Linked DNA regions of Lepisosteus oculatus. The protein of the gene in region 1 binds, or shares a complex with, the protein of each later gene. Links are inferred from orthologs where the notes say so. Each region holds a gene or a part of one and is shown in the gene's direction. Other genes may lie near its edges. The genes, in order: timm23a, timm17b, timm21 and timm17a.

Region 1 (7,488 bases):
ACATGTCAGAGTGTCGGAGCCAGTACAGGCACACATGAAGGGATGAATAGGATATACTGGTTGATACACAGACAGCTGGAAAATCTTTTTATGACTGTTCTTCCAGGCACTGCTCATCTCACAATGCTTGTATGCCTAATGGGCACATTTTTCAAGCATTTTCCACACCTCTCACCACACACCACTAACAACAGTCCTGCCTTCACGTTTTTCATGAACTGAAACAGTTAAAAAATGACACTTAGTACAACTATATACTTATTTTTAATATTAATTTACGATGTCAAGTCTGTGGTTGGGAATGGACCAAGACTCTCACCCACCTTCACATGCAAACTTCCCAGTTTACTGTATTCCTATAGGAGCTTTGTTTTGCTCAGGAGTGCATGTATAGTTCTTGTATATCGAGAACTGGCCTGTAATAAGAATGATGGTTTGAGTCAGATTTTTAATCCACCTCGTGAGCCAGTCTGGCACCTACAGTACATTTAGAAAAAACACAAGAGACAAACCACGGGACGTTATTTGACTTCCACTGTAAGACAAATGACTTGTGGCATTTTGTTTTTGCGCCTTCCCTTCGTGACCTGCTAATTTTCATATTGAAGCTGATTGATCTTGACGGCCACCCTCTGCTTTGTCAACAGGACCTGGGCCTGGCCTGTTGCCCAGAGCCTCCCATGTCAGTGCCTGTCACGAACACCGTACCCTCCACCACAAGCTGAACGCAGTGGAGCAGGTAACAGGCTGAACACCTTCATCCTGAGCTTCGGCATTCTGGACTCTAGCACTGCCACACCACACAAGATAACATTCTCGTTACACCGCCTTTGCTTAATATTTTTTCAAAGGATACAGGTTACTAGTAACTGAAAATATGTCTGTCTTACCCCTGTTTTGATTAGTTTAATTCGTCTTCCCTTAAGTCACCAAAGTGTCACATTCCAGGTCTAAGATAGCAAAAGGAAAGATTTCTGCTCACAGTGCTCTCTATTTTGTATGGCCTGTGTCCATCTCAGCGTGTGGAAGATGCAGTAGGAAAGCTGGAGGCAGAGGTGTCCATTCTCCTCGATGCCATTGAGGATCCAGAGTGGAGCTCCCTGCTGGATACTGCAGGTCCTGTCATCGACATTCTGGACAGCAAGGGTGAGGAAACTGCTCTCTCTGCAGCACTTTAGCAACCGTGGGAAACTGAAGGGAAGCAGGCTGTAACACTGAAGACTGAAATCCAAACCCTTTCTCAGCTATCCAGTTTTTCCAATTTCTGTGTGTTTTTGTAATTGACATAATTTGACAAAAGTTTCATTTAGGGGATGGGTCACAACACATTATCACTAGACTTAAAACTCCTATCAAATGACCATTTGTACCACATGTACAGTATTAGAAATAAAACACTAAGTTAACTCTATTCTCTCTATACCAATGTAATCACTTGTCCATATCTTCCAACGAAGCCCTTACACACCTCTGTCATCGGTCCATCTTCTGTCTGTCATTTTTTGCTCACAATTACAGGTTACACTCCTCTCTAATGCAGATCAATGGCTCCCTCTACTGTTGTCATCAGGCTGAGCTACCTATTTTCTCATCCTGCAGATCCCAGCTGAAGAAAACACTTCATACAGCAACATAGACTGGACAACACAGGGTAGTGCAGTGCCTGGCTTTAACATATCACCGAAACAGCAGCCGATTCTGGTTGCATCCAACAGACATTAATGATATTAATGGCCAGTGCCAATACAACAATTAATCCATAATCAATGTTACAGATTCCAGTACAATGGATTTGTGCTACAGGTATTTTCTCTACATTTTTTTTCTATTTTTACTATTGTAACTGGAGGAGTTACAGCAACGTGTTTTGTTATTAATAGATGTATGAATAAGAAATGTAATAAAAATCTTCTTAATAACACAACTTCCTTGTGAATTTTGATTTCAATAACAATTCCCTTCTGTGCTTTGATGTCATATAAACTGCCAGAAAAAAAAAACCATCTCTATTCAAATTTTAATTCTAAAGGACCCTGAGAATCTTGTACCCACTTCATCCATCACTGTAGCTGGGCACCCACCAGAGTGAGGCTGTGTAGCCATTATGCACAAACAGCACCACTTCACAGTAGGTCATGTGGAGTAGTAAGAAAGTTTGAATTAAAGGAGATCATTAGGGAGGCTACACTGTAGAAAATGGATATGAGCTAGGACACCGGGATTTTAACACCTTTACTCTTTTAAACAGTACAATTGTTTCTTTAATGATCAAGTACTCAGGACCTCAGTATAACATCTCATCTAAAGGACAGCCGCCTCCTACAGCACAGTGTCCCTGATCCGCATGCTGAGTCATAAGTTTGAAAATGAATGCAATGTTTGATAACGGTGAAACACACATCTTCATTTATTTCCTGGGACATGTCTTGGGAGGCATGCCACAGTCCAGTGATATATCGATGTTTTCACCAGCCCCCCTGACCCAAACTATAAGTCAGTGGTAAAGTGGTAAGGACAGAATTCTGGAATTTATGGGTTCAGCGCCAACCGAAAAAGATAACGGCATTGGATCCAGAGCAAGACACCTGGAATTAATGCTTAAAGACTCCTCAATTCTACGGGAGAGCCAGAAGGGAAGATGGAGAGAGATTGGAGGACCTTGGCCTGCCTCCAGCGGCATTCTCCTCAGTCTCAGGCCTGTGCGCCCGATCCCTCTGGACCTCGTGAGTCCACCTCACCAGGAGCCCTGCCCCTCTTACTCTCTCTAACTAGATCTTGCCCAGTAAAAGGTTCTACCAACATTTTATCAAGAAATTTGTGTTGCTAAAATGCATGTGTTGGAGAACAGGGAAGTGGTGCAGTCCAATAAAATATAGCAAGTCACCAGTTTATGAGCATACTTTGGATATGCTTTCCTTTTCTGGCTATGCTCAGAGGCCACAAGATTTTCTGTCTTCACTGAGACAGAAAGTGAGCCCATTCTCTAAGCTTCACTATAATCAAGAGAATTCTCTTCAGTTTGCTAATTGCAGTCAACATCACTTTGCATGATGGTTTCGTCTGGGCTGATGAAAGGACATGGGGGTCTGAATGAACAAGACCTTTCTGGTAATTAAATTCAGGTATGTTCTTATGGAACCACAAAAAACAATACAGAGTCCACTTAAAGTACCTTGTCACCATCATCACCGTACTCTAGCTGTGGATTCTGTTATACCTTGCATGTCACTTGTTGTTTCGACATAATGCAATAAATTACAACTGTGGTGCTTCTGACTGATCTAAGCTGGTCAGAAACACCTAGCTGTCTTTTAGGTAAGATGTTTCCTGGTGGTGGCAAGTAGCTTCTGATGTACAGGGGACAAAATAATAATAATAATTGCTTACACTTATATAGTGCTTTTCTGGTTTCTAGCAGCAACCTTAGCTTTCCCAGGTGGTCAACCATCCAGGTACTGACCAGGATCACACCTGCTGAGCTTCAGAGGGCTGCAGTTGTGAGTTGCAGGGTGATATGGCTGCTGGCCATGTATGAAAAACTACGAAAAAGCAAAGGGGGGTGGAATTAGTGCATTGAAGCACAGTCTTAACCCATCTGAGTGGCAGGTTTATAATGCCCATCATTTATTAGGATTGCTGTTTACAAGCTGCTTTTTCCATTTGTCCCTCATTTCTCCTTCTCGTTCATAATTTATTTCCATAAAGAGATTAAAATAGATTTACAAAAGATAATTTTTTAAATTCTAAAAATACATTGAAAAAAGATAGTTGAGCATCCAAAGCAGTAGTTCTCTCTGATTCTGTTAGTTTAATACGAAAAAAAAAATATATATGCATACACTTTCATTCAGATGCAAAGATGATCACATTTTTAGTTTTATATTGTGTCCATAAACAGATTTCAAACGGTATTGGCAGATGAATAATAAAACGTGTTGAATTTACATACACACTCTCTCAAAGCAACTTTTCAGATAATCTGACCTGTAATAAATAAGTATTAATTTATTATTATTATTATTATTATTATTATTATTATTATTATTATTATTATTATTATTATTATTTCCTATTGACGTCACGGAGCCATTCTGGAAGTACACACTCCTGGTCACATCTGCCACAGTTTGCGTAACAAAACCGCGACCCCACTCACACACGCCGTCGTGAAATTCCAAAAGTGTCGTTAATATCCTAAAGGCCTACTTTTTAAAAAATATATATTTTTATTTTTTATTACAAAAAGGGATAATACAACAAACAGGGGTATATACATACAGAACAAATCAACACGGCTTAAGTTGTACTGGAAACAACTTTTTAATAAACGGTTGTGTCAATGTTTCTTGTAAATTTCACAAGATTTTGACCATTCTTCTAGATATTATGACCAGATCAAGCAGTGTACTTATATATTGTAAGACTAGATAATTTACGCATTGGCACACATCTATTTTCTCATCAGCGGTGGCGCGGTTTGATGACGTTTTGACTGTGTTGCTTTACGGCAGTGTGCGCTGTAGGTCAGAGACAAGGGAGACAGGAAGGCAATATTGGATCTTCATTTATAAAACAGTAAGGAAAGCTATTGATAATTTCGTAACACAGATCACGTCGGTGATGTGTTTCCGTTTTTAAGGAAATGATCAGAGGTTAGAAGTTTTTTACACTACCCCTGATTCCCAGGAGGTTGTGGGGAAAAGGACATACATACTGCTAGAGTGATAGTATCACAGTCGAGTGACGCTTACCTTTGATTTCCTCTCCTCCTCTCTCTGCCTGTCACCAGAGCACCATGGATAACAGCGCGCCAGGAGCTGGCGGCTCGAAAGTCGGGCTCGGGGGTCTGTTCGGCGGGGGAGCCCCCGAGTATTCAAACACAGAGCTCGCCGGGGTGCCTTGTGAGTATATCGGCTGTTGCTGTTAGCGATAGGATTATTACGGATCATCCTCGTGATGTGACCATCTATTAAGAAATGTTCACGATCGTATAACTAATTAATAATTCCCTGTGTGTGTAGATGGCACAGTCTATTACAATATATCCCTAAGTGCTTTATCTATAGAAGGGGACCCAGACTTAACCACCACCGCTGACGTACAACACCTCCTAGATGTCATGTAAGGTTTGTCAGGTGTCACTTTTAAGGTTTTAAGTTGTAACCTTGGTTAATAGTAAGTCTTGCGCTTATATAGCACTTTTCTGGACACACCACTCAAAACATTTTACAGGCGATGAGGTCTCTCCTCCATCACCACCAGTGTGTATCTCCCACCTGGATGATGCAACGGCAGCTAAAGTATGCCAGTATGCTCCCCACACATCAGCTATCATTGGAAGAACAGAGGGATAAAGCCAGCTATTAGGAGGCCATGATTGATAAAGGCCAGGGGAACACCCCTACTTCTTTCAAGAAATGCACTGGGATTTTTAATGTCCATGGAGAGTAAGGGCCCAGTTTTATTATTCATCCAAAGGATGGTGGCTTTTTTACATTATGGTGTCCCCCTCACTATACTAGGGCAGTAGGACCCACATAGACCACAGGGTTTGCGCCCCCTACTGGCCTCACTAACACCTCTTCCAGCAGCAACATTAGCTTTCCCAGGAGCTCTCCCATCCAGGTACTGGCCAGGCGTACACCTGCTGAGCTTCAGTGGGTTGTCAGTTGTGAGTTGCAGGGTGATATAGCTGCTGGGTTTAGACCTTAGGTAGGATTGTGTAATTTGCTCAGGACACCAGACAGAACACACATACTTTTATCAACTGTGCCATGAGAACTTTAATGGACACATCAGAATCTCAGGTTAATGTCTCTTTCAAAAGGTAGTACTTCATTAAGCAGTTCTGTGATATCCATATTGTAGCATATGTTTCAAAGTCGTGATGTAAGGAGAAAGAATTACACCTTCTGATCTGCCAACACTATTTATAGCAGAAACTGTAAAGTTTTAGCCCCTAAAGTGGGGCTGTTCTATCCTGGCCCTGAATAGCTTGTCTCTCTGGTGTTTAAGGTCTGTTTAAAGCAGCAGGACCTGTGGTTGAACTGGTCCAGGCCAGTAAGCAGTCCTTCCAGTCCTCCGGGCCGAGGATTGGACAGCTCTGCCTTACAGCTCTCCCAGCCTGTACTGACCAGGCTCAACCTTGCTGAGCTTCTGAGATCTGACATAATCAAGATCAAATGTGATAAAGCTGCTCTTATATGGAATTTGTCTTCATTAGGATTTTCAGACATCTTAGGGAATACATGTAAGCATATCCATTTAGTCTGAGCATTTGTCATGTTGTTGACAGGAGTATTTTAGACTGCAAACCTCATCATTAGGAAATAGAATGTGTCCAGATCTCTTGGTCCTGAACCAGTATTTGTGCTGTACTTTCCCAATATTAACTGTTGCTTATGACTTAGGATATAAGGCTTTATCAAGTCAGAGTAATTATAGGCACTGTAATAACATCCGACTGATCACTTGTCTCTTCACAGTGACAGGAATGAGCCCCCTCTCACCCTACCTGAATGTGGATCCACGATACCTGGTGCAGGTGAGCTTGTCTGTACTGTTATAGTGAGTTCAGTGCTAGAACACCAATATTTCAGCTTAGCTTTTAGCTAATGACTAAGATCGATGCTAGGAGGGTGTGATGGAGAGGCTAGTGGGAGTGTGTGCATAAGTACATTGATTTATTTAGACGATTTTGGAGTAGTGTAGCCCCTGAGTAGGCAGCATAGTGGTGCAGTGGTTAGTACTGTTTTCTTGTGGCACTGGGTTCAGATTCCAGGGTGCTATCCGTGTAGAGTTTGTATGTTTGCCTTGTGTTCATGTGGGTTTCCTCCAGGTGCTCCGGTTTCCTCTCACAGTCCAGATATACTAGTAGGTTAAGTAAGTAGCTTCTGGGGAATCTGGCCCTACTGTGAGTAGGTCTGTGTGTCTGTATCTATATGTGTGCCCTGCGATGGACTGGCATCCTGTCCAGAGTGTACCCTACCTTGCACCTGCTGCTTGCCAGAATAGCGTCTAGATCCTTCATGACCATGTATTGAATGGTTCTAAAGTGGATATATTCCTCAAAATGCATACATATTGCCTTGGTGCTCTTAGTTCAGTGTTGCTTAATTCCAGTCCTGGAGGGTCAAAGTGTCCAGAGGTTTTCATTTCCACCTCTACTCTTAATTACCTTATTGAGCTAATTGTCAGCGTAACTGGGCCAGTTGAACACTCTTCAAAGTATTTTGCAGCCTGCTATCAAGTTAGAGTAATTATAGGCACTGTAATAACATCCGACTGATCTAAGATTAATTAAAGAGACCTGGAAAACATGCTGGATTCTGGCCTTTGAGGACTGGAGTTGTACACCTATGTTCTAATGTTTTTTTTGTAACTAGTATTTGAAAGATTGGCTTGTGATTCTTTTTAGAAAAAGGTGTAGGCACTCAGAATCATGTTAGTAATCGGTATGGTCACATTTCACCTAGATGATCACATTAG
Region 2 (6,935 bases), on another chromosome or scaffold:
CCGCCCCTGGGGACATGAGAGACTGCTGGCTCTCCACAGCCTCGCCCTCCAGCAGGGGGCGACCCACTGGCGCTCCAGGCCAGCACCCGATCGATTCCTTTCACAGCTCTGCTGGTTAGTGGACACTAGCGAGGAAAAGAAGCCACACTGTAAAGAGTAAAGCACGACAGCAAACCCAACCCCCTCCCCCGGCGCGTGTGCGATGGGAGAGCAGGCCTGCGACTTGCTGTCTGACTGTAGCTCTGCGGCGGTACCTTTGAGCTTCTTGGCCGCTTTGGAGATGACGGCATTGGGGTCGTTGGGGGACAGCCAGGACACCAGGTCAGTTTCCACATTCCAGTAATACGGCAGACCGCTGCGGGGCGGCAGAGAAAGCGTTTCAAGAGATAATTACTACTGCTTGGGCTGACGCTCTTATCCAAGGTGGCCCACATGTGTACCCATGAGTCTTTGACCAGAGCAGTGTGGGTGAAGAGCCTTGCTCAAGGGCACAGCAGCCTGGGATTTGAACCCAGGACCCCGCCCCCGAACCCCAGGCTGAAGGCCCGACAGCGGAGGAAGAGAGGGAAGCAGAGGACTCTGGGAAGGACCGAGAGGCAGTAAGAGATGGAGACTGCTGGCTGGGGCAGGCAATTCCACTCCCTCCGGTTTTCACCCCAGGCCGGAACGTCCTTGCTTTACTGACTGAACTAAGTATTTGGCCTGTTTTGTTTTCCTTCAGTTTGCCGATTAAAAGAGCCTCTAAATCCCACAGGAGCCCAGATCCTCGAGGACTGGGATCGCGTATCCCCGCTGCGGGGGGTCCGGAAGAGAGAAGGTGACGGAGAAGAGGTTTCTACATCAGAAGGGATGTTGTGTTTTTACGTCTAGCCAGCCCAATCCGCAGCTGGGCTGGGCGAGGGCGGTGAACTGGTGACGAGGGGCGGACTCCTCACCAGGCAGGGTCGAACACCTTGTACCAGCTGGGCGGCAGGTTCTCCACGCGGGTGGCCTCGTAATCCACGTTGTTGTCGTCGTAGTCCTCGGCGATGATCTCCTCCTCGGCCTCTGGAGGGAAGACGACAGAGGACCGTGAGAAAGCAGGGAAACACCTGGCCGCACACCTGTCCACCTGGAATGTCAGCTCCTAGACAGCGCGCTTGTCCCGGCAGCATGTTCTTGGAGTGGGCTCGCCTACACAGGCTCTGCTTTCAATCTTTAATGATTAAAATATTAGCATCTGATAATTATACATCCGTGCCTGGACTAGCCAGTAGCACTGTAAAGCAGACTGTGCTGTATCGTACAAAGAACTGTGTGCTGGGCTGCGCTTTACTGTATAGCCATGTTCATATTCAGATATGCGATAAGATCCAAAATTTGCAGCGCTGTGTTAATATCCAGGCTGGGCTGGGCTGTGTTAATATCCAGGCTGGGCTGGGCTGGGCTGTGTTGGGCTGCGCTGGTCTGTGCTGTGTTGTATTGTGTTAATATCAATGCTGGGCTGGGCTGTGTTGTGTTAATATCCAGGCAGGCTGGGCTGCGCCAGGCTGTGTTAATATCTAGGTTGGGTTGTGTTGTGTTAATATCTAGGCTGGGCTGTGTTGGGTTGTGTTAATATCCAGGCAGGTTGTGCTGCGCTGGGCTGTGTTGGGTTTTGTTCATATCCAGACAGGTTGTGCTGCGCTGGGCTGTGTTGTATTAATATCCAGGCTGGGCTGGGAGACTCACCATGCTCCGTCTGTTTAAGAATTCCTCTCTTGGCCAGACGAGCCAGTAAGGCAGGAGGGAGGGGCATCCTTGATCCTGGGACATACAGGACACAATCAGCACACAGCACTGTACCGTATAATACTGTACCTAGAACTACACAGCCCTGTACTGTATAATACTGTACCCAGAACTACACAGTCCTGTACTGTATAATACTGTACCAAGAGAACTACACAGCCCTGTACCGTATAATACTGTACTGAGAGAACTACACAGCCCTGTACCGTATAATACTGTATTGAGAGAACTACACAGCCCTGTACTGTATAATACTGTATTGAGAGAACTACACAGCACTGCACTATATAATACTGTACTGAGAGAACACAGCCCTGTACCGTATAATACTGTATTGAGAGAACTACACAGCACTGCACTATATAATACTGTACCGAGAGAACTACACAGCCCCGTACCGTATAATACTGTACTGAGAGAACTACAGCACTGCACTATATAATACTGTACTGAGAGAACTACACAGCCCTGTACTGTATAATACTGTACTGAGAGAACTACACAGCCCTGTACTGTATAATACTGTACCGAGAACTACACAGCCCTGTACTGTATAATACTGTACCGAGAACTACACAGCCCTGTACCGTATAATACTGTATTGAGAGAACTACAGCACTGCACTATATAATACTGTACCGAGAGAACTACACAGCCCTGTACTGTATAATACTGTACCGAGAGAACTACACAGCCCTGTACTGTATAATACTGTACCGAGAGAACTACACAGCACTGCACTATATAACACTGTACTGAGAGAACTACAGTCTGCACACAGCACTGTACACCTCTACACAGAGAGAAAGACACTGTGCGAAGGAGCTGCCTAATTTCATCAAGGGTTACTCTGCTATAAGGCCTCAGAGGTGGTTTTCCCACTTTGAACACTGAAAGCACTTCTGCATCGTGTGCACAGAGAGCGGGTCGTGGGAGAGTGACTGCACAGCCATATTGCCGGACCCCAGCGCCGCGGCTCTTTCCGAGAGGCGGCTGGAGCGGTTAGCTGCTAGCCCCTGGAAGAGCTACAGGAGACGACCGCGTCCGCCCGTCACCTATATGGCGCGTCTGTCTAACAATCTGGATGTGCCGCTCACGACAGCAGCCTGCTTACCTTTGAGTACCGCGCACAAACCAGTCAGGCGGACCAGCGACACCACCTCTGAATCTCCAACCCCCTTTTTATCTCAAATATACAGCACACCTCCGTTTTCCGACTCGCGGTGCCCTCTTATCCAACACATGCGCTTCTAACCCGCACTGATGTTCACACAGGCTTGATTTTAATAATGTAATCTCCAATTTCTCGCCGCAAATTAAGACACCGGCCACAGGCAAGCGACGACAATGTCGCGTAAGTGACGTGTCACACAGACGCGCGCGCATACGCATTCACGTGACGAACGTTCAGTCGCCAAGGTGATAAAAAGGCACGAGAAGATTACGTCATTGAGGTTGTGTAGTCGGATCGCCATCTTAGTGGAGTGCAGAGAATACTTGATAGCATAACGAGTCTTTTCTTGAAAACCGTTTAAATCTTAAGCCATCAGCTGGTGTAATAAGGTTAAAACATTTTCTGATAAACTTTCTGTTATTAAAGGAACAAATAACAGGTTTATTCCATGCTGAAAAGAGAAGAGAGAAAACAACGTTTCGGCTGTGAAGCCTTCTGCAGATGTTAGTGATATTTGGTTTCTTGTGCTCATTATCTGCATTTACATCATATAAAGCATATTGATAGATGTCCACTCAAACAGATCAACCACCTGTCATATTAACGACAGGTTCGTGCAGTCTCCTCGCATTGCTGCTATTGCATAGTGGGCTGTATCCGTTTTATAGATTTTGATGTGTCTACTAAATAACACAAAGACAAGTTGTATATATAATGCATTCACCGCTACAGTGGTACATTAATATTGTACATGTTTTATATCCCAGCTCCTGAAATTCAGTTTATAAAATTTCTACAGACCCATATTGTTTCCTATGGAGCGTCTAGAACATTGCGCTGCGATTTCTACTTGCCTAACGAGGACTGAATTTCAAGCTCTACTAATATGGCCGCCTGCTGCGCATACAACTGAGCCAGACGTGGAAACGTTCTATATTTTCAACAATGAGGGGCTGTGCACTCCTGTCACATGACACGTGCTTTCTTCGCTTGCCCTTGCCGGCTTCGTACGTCATCAGCCCCCAGTGTTGTGTTTGTGTGGTTAAGATGGAGGAGTACGCTCGAGAGCCCTGGTAATGTACAGCCCAGTGGAGAGCTAGCTTTTAAAATGCTGCAGGAGATAATAAAAACGTTTTTAGCTTCGTGTTTTATGACCTTTTTAATACCGAGTCTATTTGGCTTTTAGCCACACGAAATGTTTGTTTTTACTCATGTCAAGTTGAGCTTGTTTAGTTATGTAACTGAACGATAGTCCTAATCTATATAATACCGATTTGGCTGCTTGGAAATATCAGGTCAAATCTCAAATAAACTTCAGTATTCTTCACGCAGGTTGTTTAAAAAATCGTTGACGTATTACGTGTTTCACGACCTTTTGTGAACAGTAATAGTTGCTGCGTTTCAAATGTTTTCCTTACAGTTTCTCTTCGACCTGTAGTATCAGGGTTTCGTCTGTGTTTTGAATACGCGGATAGGCTGTATACGTTATTGATCTTAATTTTATTAACAATTGTGCGGTGCGTACGTTTGCAAAACACAGTGCAGGATTGACAGTAGTGTATTTCAGTGTGATTTGCTTTTGGTTATTTTTAAACACTTCGCTGATGTGTTCTTACTGTAAAATATGTTGATTTTGTCGGTTGTGGTTTTCTGTGATTGACTAGTATTCCTTCCAGGATTTGTGTGTGTGTCCTGTGTTGGACTGGTGTCCTGTCCGGGGTGGGTGTGTCTCCTGTGAGGGACTGGTGTCCTGTCCGGGGTGTGTGTGTCTCCTGTGAGGGACTGGTGTCCTGTCCAGGGTGTAGTGTAGCCGAGCCCTATAGTTCTGGAATAGGCTCTGAGTTTCCATGGCCCCTACTAGGATTACGAGACTTTGGGATACTGGTTGGATGGGTTGTTAATAGCTCTTTTTTATTTCTCCCCATATTTCTCTCATCCTTTTCTTTCCTCCATCTCTTAATCTGTCCTTCGACTCTGCCCTTCTCCCTCTCCATCTCCCTCTCCCTGCCCTTCTCCCTCTCGTTCCCCTGCCCTCCCTCTCTTTCCGATCTCCCTTTTCCTTCCCAACGTTCCTCCTCTTCTCCCCTGGCCTTCCACTCCCTGTCCCTCTTCTTCCCTGTAACACTCCCTGATCCCCCCTCCGCCCCCTCTGTCTCCCTCTGCAGTCCGTGGAGGATAGTGGATGACTGTGGGGGGGCATTCACGATGGGGGCAATAGGAGGGGGCATCTTTCAGGCCGTCAAAGGCTTCCGCAACGCCCCTGTGGTGAGTAGAGGAAGACTCTCACCTGCTCTGCACGGTGGAGCTCATTTAACTGTTTAACAGCTGCTCCAGGAAAGAGCTTCAATTTAACTGTCTTCGGTTGTCAGGTAGGATTGCCGTTAACTCTCCAGGACCACAGCAGCCTGTTCTGGCTTTTCTCTGAGCGCTGCTGTTCATACTGCGTGCCAGTCCTTGTCCAGCACCTCAGCAGATAACCGCTGGGCGAGGAGAAAGTGCTGTACGAGCACTGCACTGCAGTCAGAGCTTCCACTGTTCTTGCGGTGCATATACACAGTGTTTCTGAGATCAAGGCCACGGGGGACTCCCAGTACGGTACCGTGTGGTCTTGTCTCTGAGGGGAAACCGCAGCTAACAGAGAGGCGTTTCTCTGTGCAGGGCATGCGACACAGGCTGAGGGGCAGCGCCAAAGCCGTCAGAATCCGGGCGCCCCAAATCGGAGGTGAGTGTCACCCCTCAGTCTGCTTTACGCAGCTGCGGTTAGGCTGTTTCTGGTTTCTGGTTTTTATAACACACTGTTATATGCAGAGATCTGGCACACTAAGAGCTGCAACACAGAGACACGATAAACACGCGCTGTCAACATTTGTGATGTATGCACCTTAAATTTCTAAATTCCTATTCATTAACTCAATATATTAATAAAAACCAAGCACGACAGTGCCCGTGTGTGTGTGACCATTGTGTATTGAGTAGCCTATCAAGATAGCTGGTGCTGTTTTGCAGACTTTAAAGACAGGACGTTTCTCACATCACTATGTCTCTACTATGGCCTGTAGTAACATAACTGTCCACAAGGGGTCCTCAGACCACAAGTTGTGAGCTGGTGCATTCAGGACTTTAGATCATGGGGTTTCAGGTCTGTATAGTACTGTATTTAATATTAATTGATTTGTAAATTACAAGGTGAGATGTTCACCTTCAGATACCAGAATATCCTGGTAAGATATTCAGTTTTTTTCTAGATTTTGTGCACAATTGTATAAAGTACGTACTTTTCAGGTCACGCACAGTGTAATACACAGTATTAAAGTTACGCTATGGTACAAAAAGTAGGCCATTCTCACACAAGTCTATAATACAACACAACGCAAAACATTATACAAAAAAGCGAAACAAATCACGATAAAGACAGTTCAAACAAATGAGATGCATTTTTGCAGTATAGCGAAGCAGGTTTATTGTGCTGTCTCTTTGCATGTGTGAAGCATGACAGAGCATATCAAACTCCAGTCTATCAGTGCACCTTTGCCCCCAGTTAAGGAAGACGTGCAGACTCCCCCGCCAGTGTCTGCTGTTGGCTTGCAATACGCTAGCCCCCTGTGAAACTTGAAGGTTTCCTGTGACCTGCTCAGTGAGCCGCTCCGGGGTGACGCCCTGCGGTGTGTGTGTGTGTGTGTGTGTCTTGCCAGGCAGCTTCGCGGTGTGGGGCGGGCTCTTCTCCACGATCGACTGCAGCCTGGTGAAGCTGCGGGGCAAGGAGGACCCCTGGAACTCCATCACCAGCGGCGCCATGACGGGGGCCGTGCTGGCCGCACGCAGTGAGTGACCGCGCCGCCGCGCCAGCAGCACGGGGACACCAGGCACCAGGCACCAGGCACCAGTCAGCCAGCTCGCCGGGAAAAGCAGTCGGCTAGCTCGCCGGGAAAAGCAGTCGGCTAGCTCGCCGGGAAAAGCAGTCGGCTAGCTCGCCGGGAAAAGCAGTCGGCTA
Region 3 (7,999 bases), on another chromosome or scaffold:
TTTTGCTGACCATTACACATATACTGAATGTTTCAATACTCTGTTTATTTTGGCCAGGAAATTAAACATATTTAATGACTTTATAAAAGTTTTGCTTAAGGAGTATTATTGAATGTCAGGTATGGCTGCATTACTTCTTTGGCTCTGTCTTGTTTTATCTCAGGCTGTAGATGTTAAAACCTAAACTCCTTCTTCTCTCTGTCCTGGTTTCTAATCCCAAGTACAGATCATACTGCATTGTTTAGATGGTCTAAAATATGTGATCTGTTTAAAACCTGAGACAAGTGATATGTGAAGATATGACACCAGCCAGCAACCTGGCTGTGTAATCGACTGCTGGGTCTTTGAACGAGGAACCTGAAAGAAGGCAGAGCTGGAGGGAACAAGGTGAATTTCCAGGACTGCTGGCAGAGCAGACACAGTGGCATGTTCATGTTGCCATAACTACCCTTCACAAGTAATGGCATTCTGTGAAAGAAACTGAAATTAAAGTCTGTGTTTTGCACATCAGGGAGTAGAATTAAATTAACAGAAACAACTAAACTGGTAGCTATGCCAAATCAAATAGCAGAGATCGAATAGGGAAAAAAGAGAAAAAAAAATATCCAGACTAATTTTTCCCAGCCAGCTCTCAGCTTCGTTAAAGCAGCAGAAGAGAAGAGTGTAACATATGAAACAATGTTAAAATAGGAACAGCCTTAACCCATCAGAATATCAGAACATGCAGGGAAACACATACTGCACTGCACGTGTGGCAACAGCAAGGAGGTCTTGAGTAGTTTAGAGATGTAACCATTTCAATCTTCACTATCATGCAATACCCTCAGGAAAGCGATTCACTGGTGATAATGGCCATTAACACACAGTTGGACTGCAGCTGCTGTACTGTAGGTGTCTTAATCCAGAAATAAAGTCAACAGGTTCTGGAATAGGTGTCTTGGCCTGTTCAGTCCCTGATCTGATTGAGACAGTAAATTTAACAGGAGAGGTAAAGAGAAGACAGCAATGAGCACCTTCTGTACATGCTGATTATACACAGGAGTATACAGGGGTGACTAGGGCTGATCTGACAGCAGTCTTCGGGGGTGCACTGCTGACATTGTGTGACAGACTCACTCAGGTCTGTGCAGGGGGGGCTGCCAGCATAGCAACATTTTGATCTGTAGTCGATTGCCACCAAACATCTCATTTCCTTTCCAGAAGGGAGAGGACATTTCTGCAGAACACCCGTTTGTGCAGAATCTTTTTAACTTGTACATAGTAATTCCAGAAGATCCAAAAAACATGGTTTTGTATAAAGTGAGATTATTTATTAATTAATTATTCTGCTAGGTATCAGATCCATGATTACACAATCATACTGTCTTTCTATAACTCTATATACCATCCCATAGTGTGCATTGCCCCCTGTACTTTCCATACTAGGTGTTTATTTACAAATAGGGTTTTTTTTAATTACGCTTTAACTGTTTAGTCCCAGATGGGTTAATGAACTTCAAGTAATACCCAGGTTGCTGATAAACCATTGCTGTTATCACTGACAGGCATGCCACCATGTAACCCATTTACTTACAAGCGCCTGGGTGTGAATGGCAGCAGAAAAAAATACACATTTACCAGCAGTAGCTCTTTCCAATTTGTTGGTACACTAGAACTGCAATTGCAACTACTTCCTAGTTCTTTACTTCCAGTACCAGGCAAATAACAATACTGCCTCTAGACTGGTAGATTCCCTAGATCCGTGTGTGGTTCCATGAAGTAAAAACCTGGCATTTCTTTAAAGAATCTGCTCAACAAAGTGTGTTAATGGTTTTCCTGTACTTTGTGTGAGTGTGAGGGAAACGGCACAAAGCCGCCTCACTCACTTGCCCGGGCCCCTGTCACAGAGAGAGATTTCAGACGGGGCTGAGGTCACGTCTGTAACACTTTCAGCACACTGAGCAGCGTTACACAGAGACCTTCAAATCTAGAACAATTAAGTCAGCAATTCATTCAAGAAAGATCATTAGAAGTCCAGGGAGAAATTAAAACTGCACGACACCACGGTCCCGCAGAACAAGCGATGCGCTCCGGAATCATTATTAACATAGCGCCACCTTTACAGCCTTTCCGACGCAGTGTGCACCGATTTCGAGTCCATTGAATTTATTTCCTCTGCATTATAACCACCTTTGTGCATCATAACGTCAGTCATACATGAGCAGCATTAATTTACTACAAAGAAAAAAAATACTGTTCCATCATATATACAGAGAAAAGCATATATATATATATTAAAAGTTTCGGGCTCGGCGAGGACGTACTCGGTGACTCGGACACTCGTTGAGTTAAGAAAACAGCGCTTTTATTAAACTTCGGTACACCCAATCACAGCACACCTGCGCCCGCGCCCCAGCAGAGCAGAAGACTGACTCTGGAAAAAAACGAGCAAGCGCCTGAGAGAATCGAGAAAGAGCAACACACTGGGGTCTACTCGGGTACCTACACCGGTATAGGGTGGCAGGTATTTCGTACCTGGTGCGAAACCAGGGAACTATTTACAAGAATCCGAGTGATCTCCCCAGAATGTACGCCAGTACAGTGGGTCAGCTGCACTGGTCAGCGGCTTTACTAGTCCCCCCCGACCACTACTACTCCCGTCCTGCCTCTCGCCGCGCACCCCAGCCGGGCGCTCTTCGGCTGCAGCGCCAGGCGAATGCGCTACAACAGTGGTTCTCAAACTTTTTGGACCAAGTACCACCCCTAATCCAACCAAAGCATCCAAGTACCACCTACAAGTCATCATCTCATAGAAACCCCAGAAACTATCAATGACCAACATGAGCGCATGTGCACACACACTCACACATACATATAATAAATATTATAATAATAAACTTTGTTTGATATATTAAAATGTGGCTTCTCAAAGTGTTTTACAGAAAAAAAACAACACATAAAAATAAAAAAGCACCTGTTTAGAGGGGTGAGCCTGTTTAGTTGAGCAAAGCAGATGTGAATTAATTTTTCGAGCCTTGATACAATTCACAACAGTCTTAACAGATTTTAAATCGTCAGGCATTTTCTTGACGGCAAAGGTCTCGCGGTGGATGTTGCAATGAAACCATTAATTTCTGGAGCAACCTCTCTAATTCGTTCAACTACACCGCTGTGTCGGCTTGTCATTGCTCTAGCACCGTCTGTACAAACTCCGACACATTTTATCCAGTCGATGCCATTCTCTGCGATAAATTCATTCGAAAGCTGAAATACGTGCTCTCCTGTAGTTCCTGTTGGTAGCGGCTTACAGAACAGAAAGTCCTCACGGGACGTACCCTCAAACTCCTATCTAACGTAAACGAGCAAATTGGCCAAATCGACTACAGACTCATCTAATTGCAGTGAAAAACATCTGCTCATCTTAACTCGCGCTGTCAGCGTACTTTTGATATCATATTTCATTTCAATAATTCTATGAATGACTGTGTCTTTCGGGGGGGAGGCAGCAGGTCGATCTGTTCAGCAGCTTTTTCTCCACACCTAATAGTGTGGGGCTTACCTGCTTTAGCAATCCGCAAGCGTGCATTTTTCCACGTTTCCGTTTTTATTTCAGTGTTTATTTTAAGTATTTATTTCATGCGCATGGGAGAGAAACACAGAGACGCTCGGTGTATTTTTGTCAAATTAACTTAGAACAATTTTAAAATAATTTTCTGTTATTTTTCACGCCTTTCTGTGCTCACAAGATTACCAGCGTTCGTAGAACGCATTTCTATGCATTCCTGTGTTTACAACGTTGGCATTGTTCCAAAATCACGCACATTCTCATTTCTCCCTATTTGCTGGAGATACAGTAGCTTTTTTTAAATACAATTGGTCACTTGCGTCCGTAGCACGCATTCCTATAGAGTGGTATAGAATTACAGAGTATCTCTTGTGTCCACTGAAGTATTAGCGCGCACTGTATCGTAGCACCTAGGCTGCGTATTCGACACGTATAAAAATACAAAATATGAAAATCCGTCCCGATTTTTTCAGCGCACACAACACAGTTCCAGGGTCATTTGGCGTACCACTTGGCGGCACGCCACGTACCACTGCCGGTACGCGTACCACAGTTTGAGAACCACTGCGCTACAATATTATTGTTTTTAATATGCAATTACAGACAGCTTTGTCGATCAACCATCTCTGAATTAAATCACGTTTTCTCCATGGTCATAAATCCAAGAGACTTTGGCCAGTTGTTCTACATTTAATTTATCGTAATCTCTACATCTAGTATCAGATTTTCAGTTGTCTTGTCTAATATTGTTGTGACATTTTTTGTGATCATTTTACTGTAAGCGGGTTTCTGTTCTTTCGGGCTTAAACCAATGAAATCACAGCTCCGGTCAGGACTACATTTGTATTGTAACGCTACGGCGTTCACGTCGGCCCCCCACCTTCGGGGACTCGAACCCGGGCCTCCAGCGTCACTCAGCAGGGACCCAGCCTCTTGAGCCTAAGGGGAATCTCCCGTCAGCCCGGCGGCTGCGGTCCCTGCTATTCACAGGGAAGGGCGGTGACGTCACCGCGCTGGTCAGCCGGCTCTCACGAGCAATGGAGGCCGTATGCGTTACAACTATAAATATATATAAAAGGAACGTGTCCTTAGCAATATAAATACTTAACACTAAAATTTTAAAAAAAACGTTATTATGTATGTATATCAAAATCGAATTCCTTATAACAAAGGATAATTTTCAATTTCAACAATATAATTTCATATTGACACATTATAGTTAACCAAGTTCATATGGTTCTGATTTATTTTATGATACAAATTAAATTAAAATTAAGTAGCATAGCAACTCGCGTGTATTAGGCGACAATCTTGCAACACGATGAGCATCACTAATCGAGCCCCGATCAACAGGCTCGCTGGCTTGAAACGGTGCGCGCAGTGCATGCTGGAAATTGTAGTTTGCCTCTCACGAGTGCCTCGCTGATACCGCTCAACTTGCCTTACGCGAAAACTCCAACTCCTACAATCCCACAGCTGCATAGCGTTACTCTGCAATGGCGAGGTTCTTGGTGGACTACCTACCGAAGACTTCTTAATTAAAGTTACTATCAGTCAAATACACGCGGATTTTTTTTATTTTGCAAAGTTTAGGTGTATTGTTTTTGACATTGCGTTCGGTCAGCCCAAAGCCCATTTTTTGTTGTTGTCGCTTTTTATTAGCATACTTACAACTGTGACAGTTTTATTTCGAAGGGGCAACATGCTGTTTTATTTGATACTGAAGTCCCAGCAGGTGAGGTCAGCCCGGTGCTGCGGCTTTCGATGCTACCGACAGTTGCACAGGGACGGCGGGAGCTTGCAGCGCGCCTCGCCCACAGCTGCCGTGCGGTCCGTCTGTGCGGCCGGGCTCCGCAGCGCCCTGCACGTCCCCAAACTGGGCGTCCTGGCCGATCCCGGGCTCAGAAGGGGGAAGCATGAAAGTTCAGGGCAGTTACCCGCGCAGGGGCGCCGAGGCGACACTTCGACACTGTCCACAGCCCAGAAAGGTGAGGGACTGGCCCGGGAGCCGAGGTCGCGATTTGCCCTGGACGCTATCTGGGACAAGGTACTCACGGTGGAGCTGGGTGGCCTCCCGGTAATTCATTGGTGTAGGCAGGAAGACAGTGATACCAGTTTCCCTCGCTGTCCAAAAGCAATGACAGTGTCAAGCCAGTGGATTTAAGAGTGAAACAATAGCAAGAGGACAAAAATGGAAACTGCTTGGAACTGCGTTTAAAAGTTTACTCAAAGGGCTGTGCGAGTGTGGAACAAGCTACCTTGCCAATATCCTGGTGTAGTTCAAGAAACAGCTGGGTAAAAGCTACCAAACTAGCTACTGTAGGTGGACTGAATGTCCCCATCTCGTTTGTATCCTTTCTTAAAAGGTTTCTGGTAGGTCTTTGTTCTTGGTGGACAAATGAACTGTGTTTGCAAGAATGCTCCTTTGGAAAGTGGGTTAGAGTGAAATTCTGAAACAAGTGTGTATAAGTGTTGCTGGGCAGCAGAGTAGAGTGGTGGTTAGGTTAAGACGGGGAGGTTGGGAGTTCAAATCCCAGGGGCACTGCTGCTGTGTTCCCGAGCACGGGGCTGCACTCAGACTGCTGAAGTAAAATAAGTCTGTAAAATTGGGCACAAGTGCCGCGTTGCTCTGTTTAAAGGGCTCACTCTAATAATAATAAAAGTGTTCCCAGACTGTTTAGACTGGCAAGTATTTTTAAAAAGAGAAACAGTAATGTGCTCTCTTTTCTCCTCCTTGCAGTCAAGAAAGCTGGGAAGGATTTCACGTATCTAATTGTGGTGCTTGTTGGGATTGGAGTAACAGGTAAGTTCTCGTGACCAAGGTGACAGGAGCTTCCTGTTAATACACATTCATTACGGAAAACGGGTGTGTTTTTATTGTTTCATCAATTTAACATCAGTTATGTGCATCTAAGATTTATTATATTTTCACATATGGAAATCAGTTTCAAATTAGAATGCTATAATGTACCTGTACCATATGCAATCCACAGAAACACCAAGAGCGTGAAAACATAAGAAAGGTTACAGAAGTTATGCAAAACCCTGCACTTGCCTGTATTGTCTTCAGCCAGGCGCTCACCCAGTCATGAGATCCACATTGGAGCCTGTGATGGCAATTCTATCCCAAAGGAGTGGGGGGGGCAGTGTTTCATTGGCCTTTGTGTGGGTGAACTGTGTCTGTAAGCAGGAACAATGTTTGTGCAAGAACAACGCTGGAGCACGTCCTCTTAAAACAGATTGAACTGCATATCCTAAAACTGTGTAAGATTTAAAAATATGTCAAAACACAGATCCGGGGCTGTTGTCCACTGCATGGTGGATGAATGCAATTCGATAGACCAAAGAGATAAGAAGTCAGACAGCGAGGTGTGAACTGAGGTGAAACATTACTTTGTCTTTTATCAAAGTAAAGATTCGCAAAAACCCAGTATTTGAACACAGACACTGGTGGGTCACTTTTTAAAGATTTAATCAGATTTGCTTGTTTTACTTACATATTCAACAGTTTACTTCCAAAAATCCCAAATTAGTAGGAGTATGTGTTTTATGGTACCTGGATAAAAAAGAACAACCTTGCACTTCTTCAGTCCATTTTAAAACAGCCTGGAGATGATGGATGTTACAAGCCATTTTCTAGAACTGTATTTATGTTTGATGTTATGATCTTTTCATCAGTCTTAATGTAGAAAACGATCCAGTCAGTTTTTCATTAGTTTTCATTAATGTCTTTGGATTATTAACTCAGTGCAATTTATCAGTGAACATTGCAAGTACAAATGCAGATGACAACCATGTAAACAAAGGAAGGCTTTCCTGAGGTATAACAAGCTATTATTAATTACCTAATTATCTGTCAGTTCACCTTTTAACTCTGCAGAATGTTAATGTGTTGCTGGCAGCTCAGTGTTTGAGGTTAATGCACTGAAAACTACATCATGGTCATTATGGATGGGAGCTGAAACATATCAACTGCTTTTATGCACAATCATGAGTTTGGGATCATGGATAAATTCATCCATTGTATTGCTTTAACATGCTGAACACATTTGCATGCATTGTTTTTACTAAATGAATGAGGGCTATTGAATTTCATTTTTGCAAATAGTGAATTAAGATGCCATGTCTTCATTCTGTTCTTTTGGGGGGAAAAAAGCTTTCTGAATCTGTATTAGGTGGAGGAGTTGGTAGCCATAATTTCTGCATGACTGTGTGTCTTTGTCTTAATTACAAATCGGTTGATTTTCTTTTTCTTCAGTATTTAATACGTATGCTTTTTCAATTATTCTACAGTCCTATGAGTTCAGTTTAAAAAATCATTTCTGTTCAATTTCTCATTCATCTATTGTTGTTTGTATTATGTAGCCACAATATAAAAACTGCAACCACTTTTATTTATAACCTACTATACATTTGAAGCCTCAGAGCACATTGGATTGTTTTGATTAGCCCTCA
Region 4 (7,408 bases), on another chromosome or scaffold:
ACAGCGGCATTTTTAATTTAAAACGCTTGTGATAAAACCGAAATAAAGGGACGAAAATTAACATCGAATTGTAACCAGTCAAGTGGATATTCGAAAGGATTCTGTGCTTTCAGCACGAGAAAAAGCCACTTAATAATTAACTGGCCTATTTTGCGTTGCTCAGAATTAGGAAGGAAACCATTAAGTTAGATATTACATTGTTCGCATATATGTAAGCAGATACTGTACATGTACGTTATTGTATGTTTTCTAAAGGAAAACATTCAACCATAGCATACGTTTTATACATGCCTATACGTCTTGAATATTTAAATTATTATACTACTTTCCGTAACAATTCATTCTCCATCTTCAAAATTCTGACGACTTTTCCCTCGATAGTGACGTAAGATGACGTGTCTTGGGTCACCGATCAAGTTCCAACAGCTAAAAAAACAAGTTCCAACAGCTAATGTCGCTCTATTTACGTAGAAGACCATACGATTGAACAGAAGGACATTATGTCATGCCTTAGCTAAATGGAAGCCTGGGGATAAAGTTCTCAAACGCACCCAAGGCGTTTTTTATAAGAGGAAAAAAAGAGTCGTCCATACCTTTACAAAGGAGAAGATAATTCTTGAAATGATAAATTAGGCGATGTGTAGTTCAATGAAAGAGTTTTACAGGTCTTAAGTTCTCGTATGTATCGAAGAGTTTTTGAGAAGAATGATGTTCACACAGCTTTGTAAATATTTATTTTTCTACAGCTTCCAGATGTTCAACTGTTAAACGCATCATATGGATTTAAAGTGAAAAATAAAACTGTAGTTACGTTCAGATACGTTACTAATACGTTTTATCGTGATATACACCCAATTACGGTAACTTTCTAAAACGTTGCTCATGTTATAATGTGTCTCCTGTGTATCGTAAATATGTATGTTTGAAAGCGTATGGCCCATAAACTCTTTTACGACGTTATATTGGAAATGCTAATTTTAATATGAGCTGACTAGATTAACGGTAAGTGTCTGTACTTAAGAGTGTGTAAAAACACTATACCTGTATGTTGATGTAAAGGGAAAACTGACAGTACTACAATATTAATAATACCAATGTTTACTATCATGTAAATATACTGCACTTGACATCTAAAGAAATTGTCTTACAGTATTTCAGGTTACAGTGCCTTAAGTGCAAGGAATAGTACAGAAGGCAATTGTATGCACCTTTTGAGAGCAATGTGTTTTAAAATTGTACGTAAACAGTACAACTTTTGATCACAATAAAACTGAGAGTTATAACTTACAGCCTTTGAACATCATGTATTTAGTCCCACTACAATGCTACAGTGATGAGATATCTAAATATCAGGGTTGATTGTTTTAAGGTAGGCATGGAGCCAGAACAAATTTCCTTACTCAAATCAGGCTCACACTTTTACTAGACTAGATGTGAATTAAAAGTAACTTTCTGGAAAACAATGACTCATCTACCTTGTAGTCATCAGGTGGCTTTATTAAGCCCTAAAACTCTTTTATTGTGATAAATGCCAACAAACATGTTTTACAGTTTGTGATACAGTATGAGAGGCCTTTAAGGCCATGGACCGATGGATAAATGATTAGCGTGAATATTTCTCAAAAGTGACAACCAGAATAAAACACACCTTAAAAAAAAATCAGTCACAGTAAGTAGGTTACACGAGTTACGTTTTCTGTGAAATATGTTTCATGTCTATTCCACTGTATCTCTCTGATTTTCTATGGTACTTTGAGGTAGTTTCTGTAACATATTTTCACATACTGTGCTTAGGTTTCTCATTGCTAAGCTCCTTCTCCTTTTCAGACTGATTACGAACGAACAGAAGGGAAGCTCAAGCACGGGGCTCTCAGCCGCAGTTCCTGGGGGGCCCTGTGTCTTGTGGTTTTGATGCCAACATACAATACATAGTTGGTCAAACTACATAATTGACTGTATAATTGTAACACTCCAACCAGGTGATTAATAGGCAGCGGCACCTTTAATTGAGTGCCTTGTGCAATGAACTGTAAAAGACCTCAAGAGAAAATCCTGTCTGTGTCTAATTTAGAAAATAAGAAGGTCAATAGTCTGACTGCTCAGGTTGGAACAAGAACCCGAAGACAACAGGCCCTCCAGGAGGTGAGTCTGAGACACTTCTCCACAACAAGCATATTAAGGTTTTACTTCCTAAACATACATAAAGAGGCCGTCGCTGACATCTCATCAGGCTGGTGGCAGAGGTAACACAATAGGTTTGAGATTGTTCCTCCGCTTCTTGTTATCCAACAGTGTCCCTCAAAGCTGTGGACTTCCCTCATCATGCCAGAACAAGTTGGGAAATCACAGGACAGCATCCAGAGTACTCTGGCACAAAAGAAAACTCCATCCCTCTCTCTGAGACTCTATCCATGTTCTTCCAGGAGTAGATTCTTCCCCAGCAATGATTGAGAGATGTACTGAATGAAAGCTCGGCAGTTATGTTTCAGTTGCCTCCCAGCCTGTCCACCACAAACGCATACACAAACTCACAGCCCCCAGCACCAATGAAATGCCTATATTTGGTCATTTTTCAATGGAAACACAGTCTGAGGCTCATTCCATTACCATTCCTAAGAGTGGGAGAAAGGCCAAGAGCTTGTCTGACGCTCTTTAAAAGCTCTCCGCTCAGACATAGAGTAAAAAAAAAAACAGCTTATGTAAATATTTCCTTCTATCACAAAACTAACATAAATATTTATTTACCATCAGTCCCAAAGTCCTTGTCCGTTTCTTGTCTGAGTGTTTAGTCTCATTATTATCCCACTTCAGACTACGTAGCATCTCTGGACAAAGCTCATACACGTAGATTTGGTCATGCTTGTTCGAACGTCTGTGAACAGACGACCGTCTAGGTGAACGTCTGAGACAGATCCAATTTTTAACTGCTTGGGTCTGACGGAGAAACCTCCTTCGTCTCACACGTGAAAGGGATGCATTTTTGTCATCAGAGAACTTTAGTGAACCAGTTTTGTGTACAAGGCATAGAATCTGGCAGAACAAAGTGGAAACCAAGGAGAAATAGACACAAGACTGAGAAAGAATAAAAATGCTTCTATACGCAAAGGGAGGTAGGAGTGAGGAACAAATGACCAAGATATGGTGTAAATCTAGGATTCCATTTCAAGTCTTTCATGTCTGAGGAATTCAGGATACAGGGCTTGGTTTGTTTTTCTGTCTTAGGCTCTCACAATCCTGTGGGATTCATATTCCTGATAGCCTTTGTGAAATAACAAATCAGTCACACAAATTCCACACATATTTATGAAGTCACATAACCACTGTAAGAAAGGGTTAGAAACCAGCGATGCCCATTCAGCTCATGGAATGTGTCCAGTTAGTAATGGCTAAAAGATCTGAGAGCCTCATTCAGTCATTCTCTGAAGGACACCAGGACATCAGCTTCGATAACTTGGCCCAAACACGTCAGGTACCCCTGTTTAGGTCTTGATCCAGACTCCCACAATCCTTTGCAGATAAAGTCCCATGCTGGAGGCTTGAGGAAGGAACGAGAGGGAGGAAGTGAGGAGACTTTTCCTTACAAATCCTTTCCAAAGAAATCAAGGACCTGGAATGGGACTTTCTCATTCCCAGCTTTCCCTCTTCGTTGATGATGGGAGGATTCACCTGCTACCAGAGCAGCAGAGGACTGGGGGTGGGTATGAAGGGTACAGAGGTGACACATTCTTGTACAGGAATGTCCCTCAGGTCCAATGAAGGACCTGTGCCTTATCATCTGTAGCAAATGACACCCTTGCCTTGTTTCCTATGTAACAGTTCAGAACGATGTAGTCTGAATGACGTCTGACGTTGTTTTGAATACAGATCCTTTTTTCCTGAACCAGTCTTGAACATGTTTTGTGGTCTCGGTCAGCAGTATCAATTAAGTAATTAACAACCAACATAATTAAGAAACGGTCCTGCAATAATCCTACAATGAAATGGAACTGGTGCAGAAAGGCAAGCGGCTTAATAATTGATGCTTTCAGAGTTTTAAGGTAAAAAAACAAAAAAAAAGTATTTTGTTTACACAGACTGTAACTTTAAATTGAAAATCAAAATAGTAGCAGTGACACTTTAAGTTGACGTTGTCCACTACTAGGCGCTGAGTGGTCGGCACAGTGGCCTTTAGTCCTGCTGCCACAACTCAATTCAGTTCCGGCTTGGACACCTTCTCTGCGGAGATTAGCCACCCATAGCCACACAGGTTTTCCTCTGATTTCCACCCATAGTCCACAGACATGCAACTTAAATCAGGTCCGGAATTGAACCCAGGGCAATGCAATGCTCCTATCAGTCCTACCAGTTACGCATGGCGAAAATTAACTTTACATTTACACACAGTAAGAGAAGGACTAGCCCTTTAAGTCGCGCCAGTTTCTGAGAGCTTACACTTCCTGTGACGTCAGGACTCCGCCCTACTTTTTCCGCCGAGCGAGACCCCGAGAAGAAGATGGAGGAGTACGCACGTGAACCATGGTAAGTCATTATTTTTAGTATAGTGTGACATTACAAATGGTGTTTGTTTGACACAACGAGAGCTTAAAACCCCGCTAACATATGGGAATTTTTCTTCGGCGCTGTGAGGAAGGGTCGCTAACGCTGCAGTGGCCGGTGTGTCACACACTTTTTCTCTGCAGAGCCGGTCGGTGTCCTTGGCATCACAGACCGAGCCGGGTGACCTTGTGTAACCGATTTTTGTTTTACAGAAGTCGCGATTCCTGTGTATATTCTGTGTGGGCTCAATAGAATGTAAGACTGTATCCACGGTAGTCTCTTACGACCTGAATTCTTAGTTCATATTACAAGACGAGACAATTTTCCTTGTGTTTCCTGCCTCCTGGTGACGTAACCAGTGAGGGAAGCCTGTGTCTTTAGCACATTGTTGGAATCGACTAGAATGACGCTTTAAAATGAGTTCAGAAGGCATGGTGGGGTCGTTGATTGCAGCTGTGTGTACCTTTGATGTGGCAGAGTGCTGTTGATCACGCACCGGTGTTGTGTAATACTGATCCCATGCCGGTGATACGTTATGAGAGCCTGGTGTGTGGGTCACAGGCATACACTCGTGCGATTGCATTGCAGCCTCTGGTGCTTGTCGTTATTACAGCAGTGACCAGCCCTGGTCCTGGAGTGACATCCAAGCAGGTTTTCTGGGTCATCCTTAAATCATCAGAGCGTAAAGACGTGGAATGTGTGGGTTTCGATCAGCATGGTTATTGACTGTACTGAAGTCAGCCGGGCTGTGTGATGTGCGTGAGACCTACAGGCTGTTAAGATTTTCATTTCAAATGCTCTCTAAACATTATTGAGCAAACCTTCTCTTTCAGTGATGAAAATTTAAACTGGTTTCCTCCAGGTGCTCCTGGTTGGCTCCCACAGTCCAAAGATATGCTGGTGTGTGTGCTCTGTGATGGACTGTCCAGTGTATACCCATTGCATGCCAGGATATACTCCAGCTCCCTTGTGACCCTGCAGTGGCAGAGTGGTTAGAAAATGGAGGGGTATTTAGACAATACATGACTTGTAAGACCTGCTGGATGGGTGCTATCCAGAATTGGGTATGAGCGGCCCACCGCTCTCTAACAATATAGTAGAGAGGAAAGGGCTTCATTTAAAGTGCTTTGTCCGCCAGACTCAAGACTGCGCAGCCCTGTTGAGAAACCTGAACTCTTCCACCAGAGGCCAGGGTGCGGTTCAAGGGTGCGTGCTCGGTTGCGCTGTGTGATCTGACGCCTTGATGAGAACACAAGGGTAGTTCAACCTTGTCTAGCGATATTGTACACAGCGTTTTGTTTCCTTCACTTTCCCACGTGACTTGAACTAGTTTAATCTGCGCGAATTAAAGAGAAAAAGGTGAGGTAGCGGGCGGCAGGGTGCCATAGTGATCAGCATTGCTGCCTCACTGCACTGGGGTCTGGGTTCAATTCGGGACCTGGGTTGCTGTCTGTGTGGAGTTTGTATGTTCTCCCTGTGTTTTCTCCAGATGCTCTGGTTTCCTCCTGCAGTCTAAAAACATACTGGTAGGTTAATTCGTTTCTGGGAAGAACTGGCCCTAGGTGAGGGTGTGTGTGTGTGCGTGCAACCCTGAGTTGTATAATACAGTTGGATATTTGATGGATGAGTTAGGTAACTCTTTTTTGGTCTGTAATCAACAGCCTCTGCTGGCAAGGAGGGTGTATTGCAGGTGGAATCTCTCATCACTTCCCTGCACCTTTATGCTCAGTGCTCTTAGAAGCTTGCGTTCTTAACAGCAGAGAAAAGTAGCAGAGTATAAATATATCGAGTATAAGACAGAGTCTTGTACAGAGTATAAGTATGTTTGAGAATGTTTTTCTTGGCTTAGACAGATGTATTAAGTTTTTCTTGCTTATTTGATATATTTATCTGTTAAAGGGTGCACATCAGAAGGGAGACTGCAGCTCCTGTGCACTGGTTCTGTATTTCAGTACCTTCAGAATGCAGGCTGAGGCAGAGGGGCCAGTGGGACACATCCTGGGGCAGAACTGCTTCTCTCTCTCTCCATGATCGGTGGAGCAGGAAAATGTCAAATCGATTGTGCCGGCAGGTCATTAGAAAGTTATTGATGGCTTTATTTCTGCAGCCCCTGGAGGATCGTGGATGACTGTGGGGGTGCCTTCACCATGGGAGCCATTGGAGGAGGAATATTCCAGGCAGTCAAGGGCTTTAGAAATTCACCTGCTGTAAGTACTGGGACACTACTCCTCTATCGCAGGGCCTGGAGTCTCACAGCCCTGTCTTGCTGGCCAGCCTGCTTCTTTCATTCCAGCCGAACTTATTTAATGGGACAAATAATCAGGTCCTTTTCAAAGCTCTTGTCTTCAGCTCTTAACTAGTTTTAAGTAACTTGAAATGTTCAGCTTTTTGTAGCTGACATAACGAAAAGCGAATTATGAGGCTGATTTCAGGTCCATGCAGAGCTCAGTCAGAATGAAGACCAGGACTGGAGAGGGCCCCGTCTTAAGACCAGGAAGCTGAATAAATTACCCGGGCGGATCTCCGTTTCTTCAGTTCCACCATCGTGATGGAATGAAAACCAGAAAAAAAAGTGGTTCTCAGGAGAGAGAATCTATACATCAACTCTGCTGTCCTTTGCAGTTTTGGGGGGTAGTTACCTATAAAAAAGTAATTCATTCAGTTTTTAAGGTTTCTAAAATTTCACATTTTTTAAATTGCTATAATTACTCCATATTGACATCACATTGATCACCGGAACTGATGTTTTTCTCAAAATATTTCCCTGCTTTGCCCATCTCTTTTGGACCATTGACCTAGCCTGGCTCTGCTTGTCCTGTCAGTGCTTTTGTTGCCCCCTGTGTATTTAAACTAAGAGTGTGACTTTCCTTCT

What was found.
Region 2: timm23a (region 1) and timm17b share a complex: the UniProt entries of both Homo sapiens proteins name them as parts of the TIM23 complex. The link is inferred for Lepisosteus oculatus from reciprocal best matches to the Homo sapiens genes TIMM23 and TIMM17B.
Region 3: timm23a (region 1) and timm21 share a complex: the UniProt entries of both Homo sapiens proteins name them as parts of the TIM23 complex. The link is inferred for Lepisosteus oculatus from reciprocal best matches to the Homo sapiens genes TIMM23 and TIMM21.
Region 4: timm23a (region 1) and timm17a share a complex: the UniProt entries of both Homo sapiens proteins name them as parts of the TIM23 complex. The link is inferred for Lepisosteus oculatus from reciprocal best matches to the Homo sapiens genes TIMM23 and TIMM17A.

Annotation. Positions count from the first base shown.
Region 1 is NC_090699.1:43,720,896-43,728,383, forward strand, and holds the start of timm23a (mitochondrial import inner membrane translocase subunit Tim23), read left to right. Parts: upstream 1-4,478; 5' UTR 4,479-4,575; exon of another isoform or gene 4,576-4,652; intron 4,653-4,789; 5' UTR 4,790-4,795; coding exon 4,796-4,901; intron 4,902-6,485; coding exon 6,486-6,544; intron 6,545-7,488. Other genes in the region: placenta-specific protein 9-like, read left to right, coding at 648-739, 1,020-1,146, 1,541-1,575. UniProt on the Homo sapiens protein: Essential component of the TIM23 complex, a complex that mediates the translocation of transit peptide-containing proteins across the mitochondrial inner membrane.
Region 2 is NC_090697.1:75,085,247-75,092,181, forward strand, and holds the start of timm17b (mitochondrial import inner membrane translocase subunit Tim17-B), read left to right. Parts: upstream 1-3,934; 5' UTR 3,935-3,991; coding exon 3,992-4,017; intron 4,018-5,109; coding exon 5,110-5,209; intron 5,210-5,602; coding exon 5,603-5,666; intron 5,667-6,636; coding exon 6,637-6,765; intron 6,766-6,935. Other genes in the region: pqbp1 (polyglutamine-binding protein 1), read right to left, coding at 255-355, 936-1,047, 1,711-1,777. UniProt on the Homo sapiens protein: Essential component of the TIM23 complex, a complex that mediates the translocation of transit peptide-containing proteins across the mitochondrial inner membrane.
Region 3 is NC_090701.1:376,376-384,374, forward strand, and holds the start of timm21 (mitochondrial import inner membrane translocase subunit Tim21), read left to right. Parts: upstream 1-4,996; 5' UTR 4,997-5,246; coding exon 5,247-5,532; intron 5,533-6,284; coding exon 6,285-6,347; intron 6,348-7,999. UniProt on the Homo sapiens protein: Participates in the translocation of transit peptide-containing proteins across the mitochondrial inner membrane.
Region 4 is NC_090700.1:30,240,421-30,247,828, reverse strand, and holds the start of timm17a (mitochondrial import inner membrane translocase subunit Tim17-A), read left to right. Parts: upstream 1-4,408; 5' UTR 4,409-4,492; coding exon 4,493-4,518; intron 4,519-6,643; coding exon 6,644-6,743; intron 6,744-7,408. UniProt on the Homo sapiens protein: Essential component of the TIM23 complex, a complex that mediates the translocation of transit peptide-containing proteins across the mitochondrial inner membrane.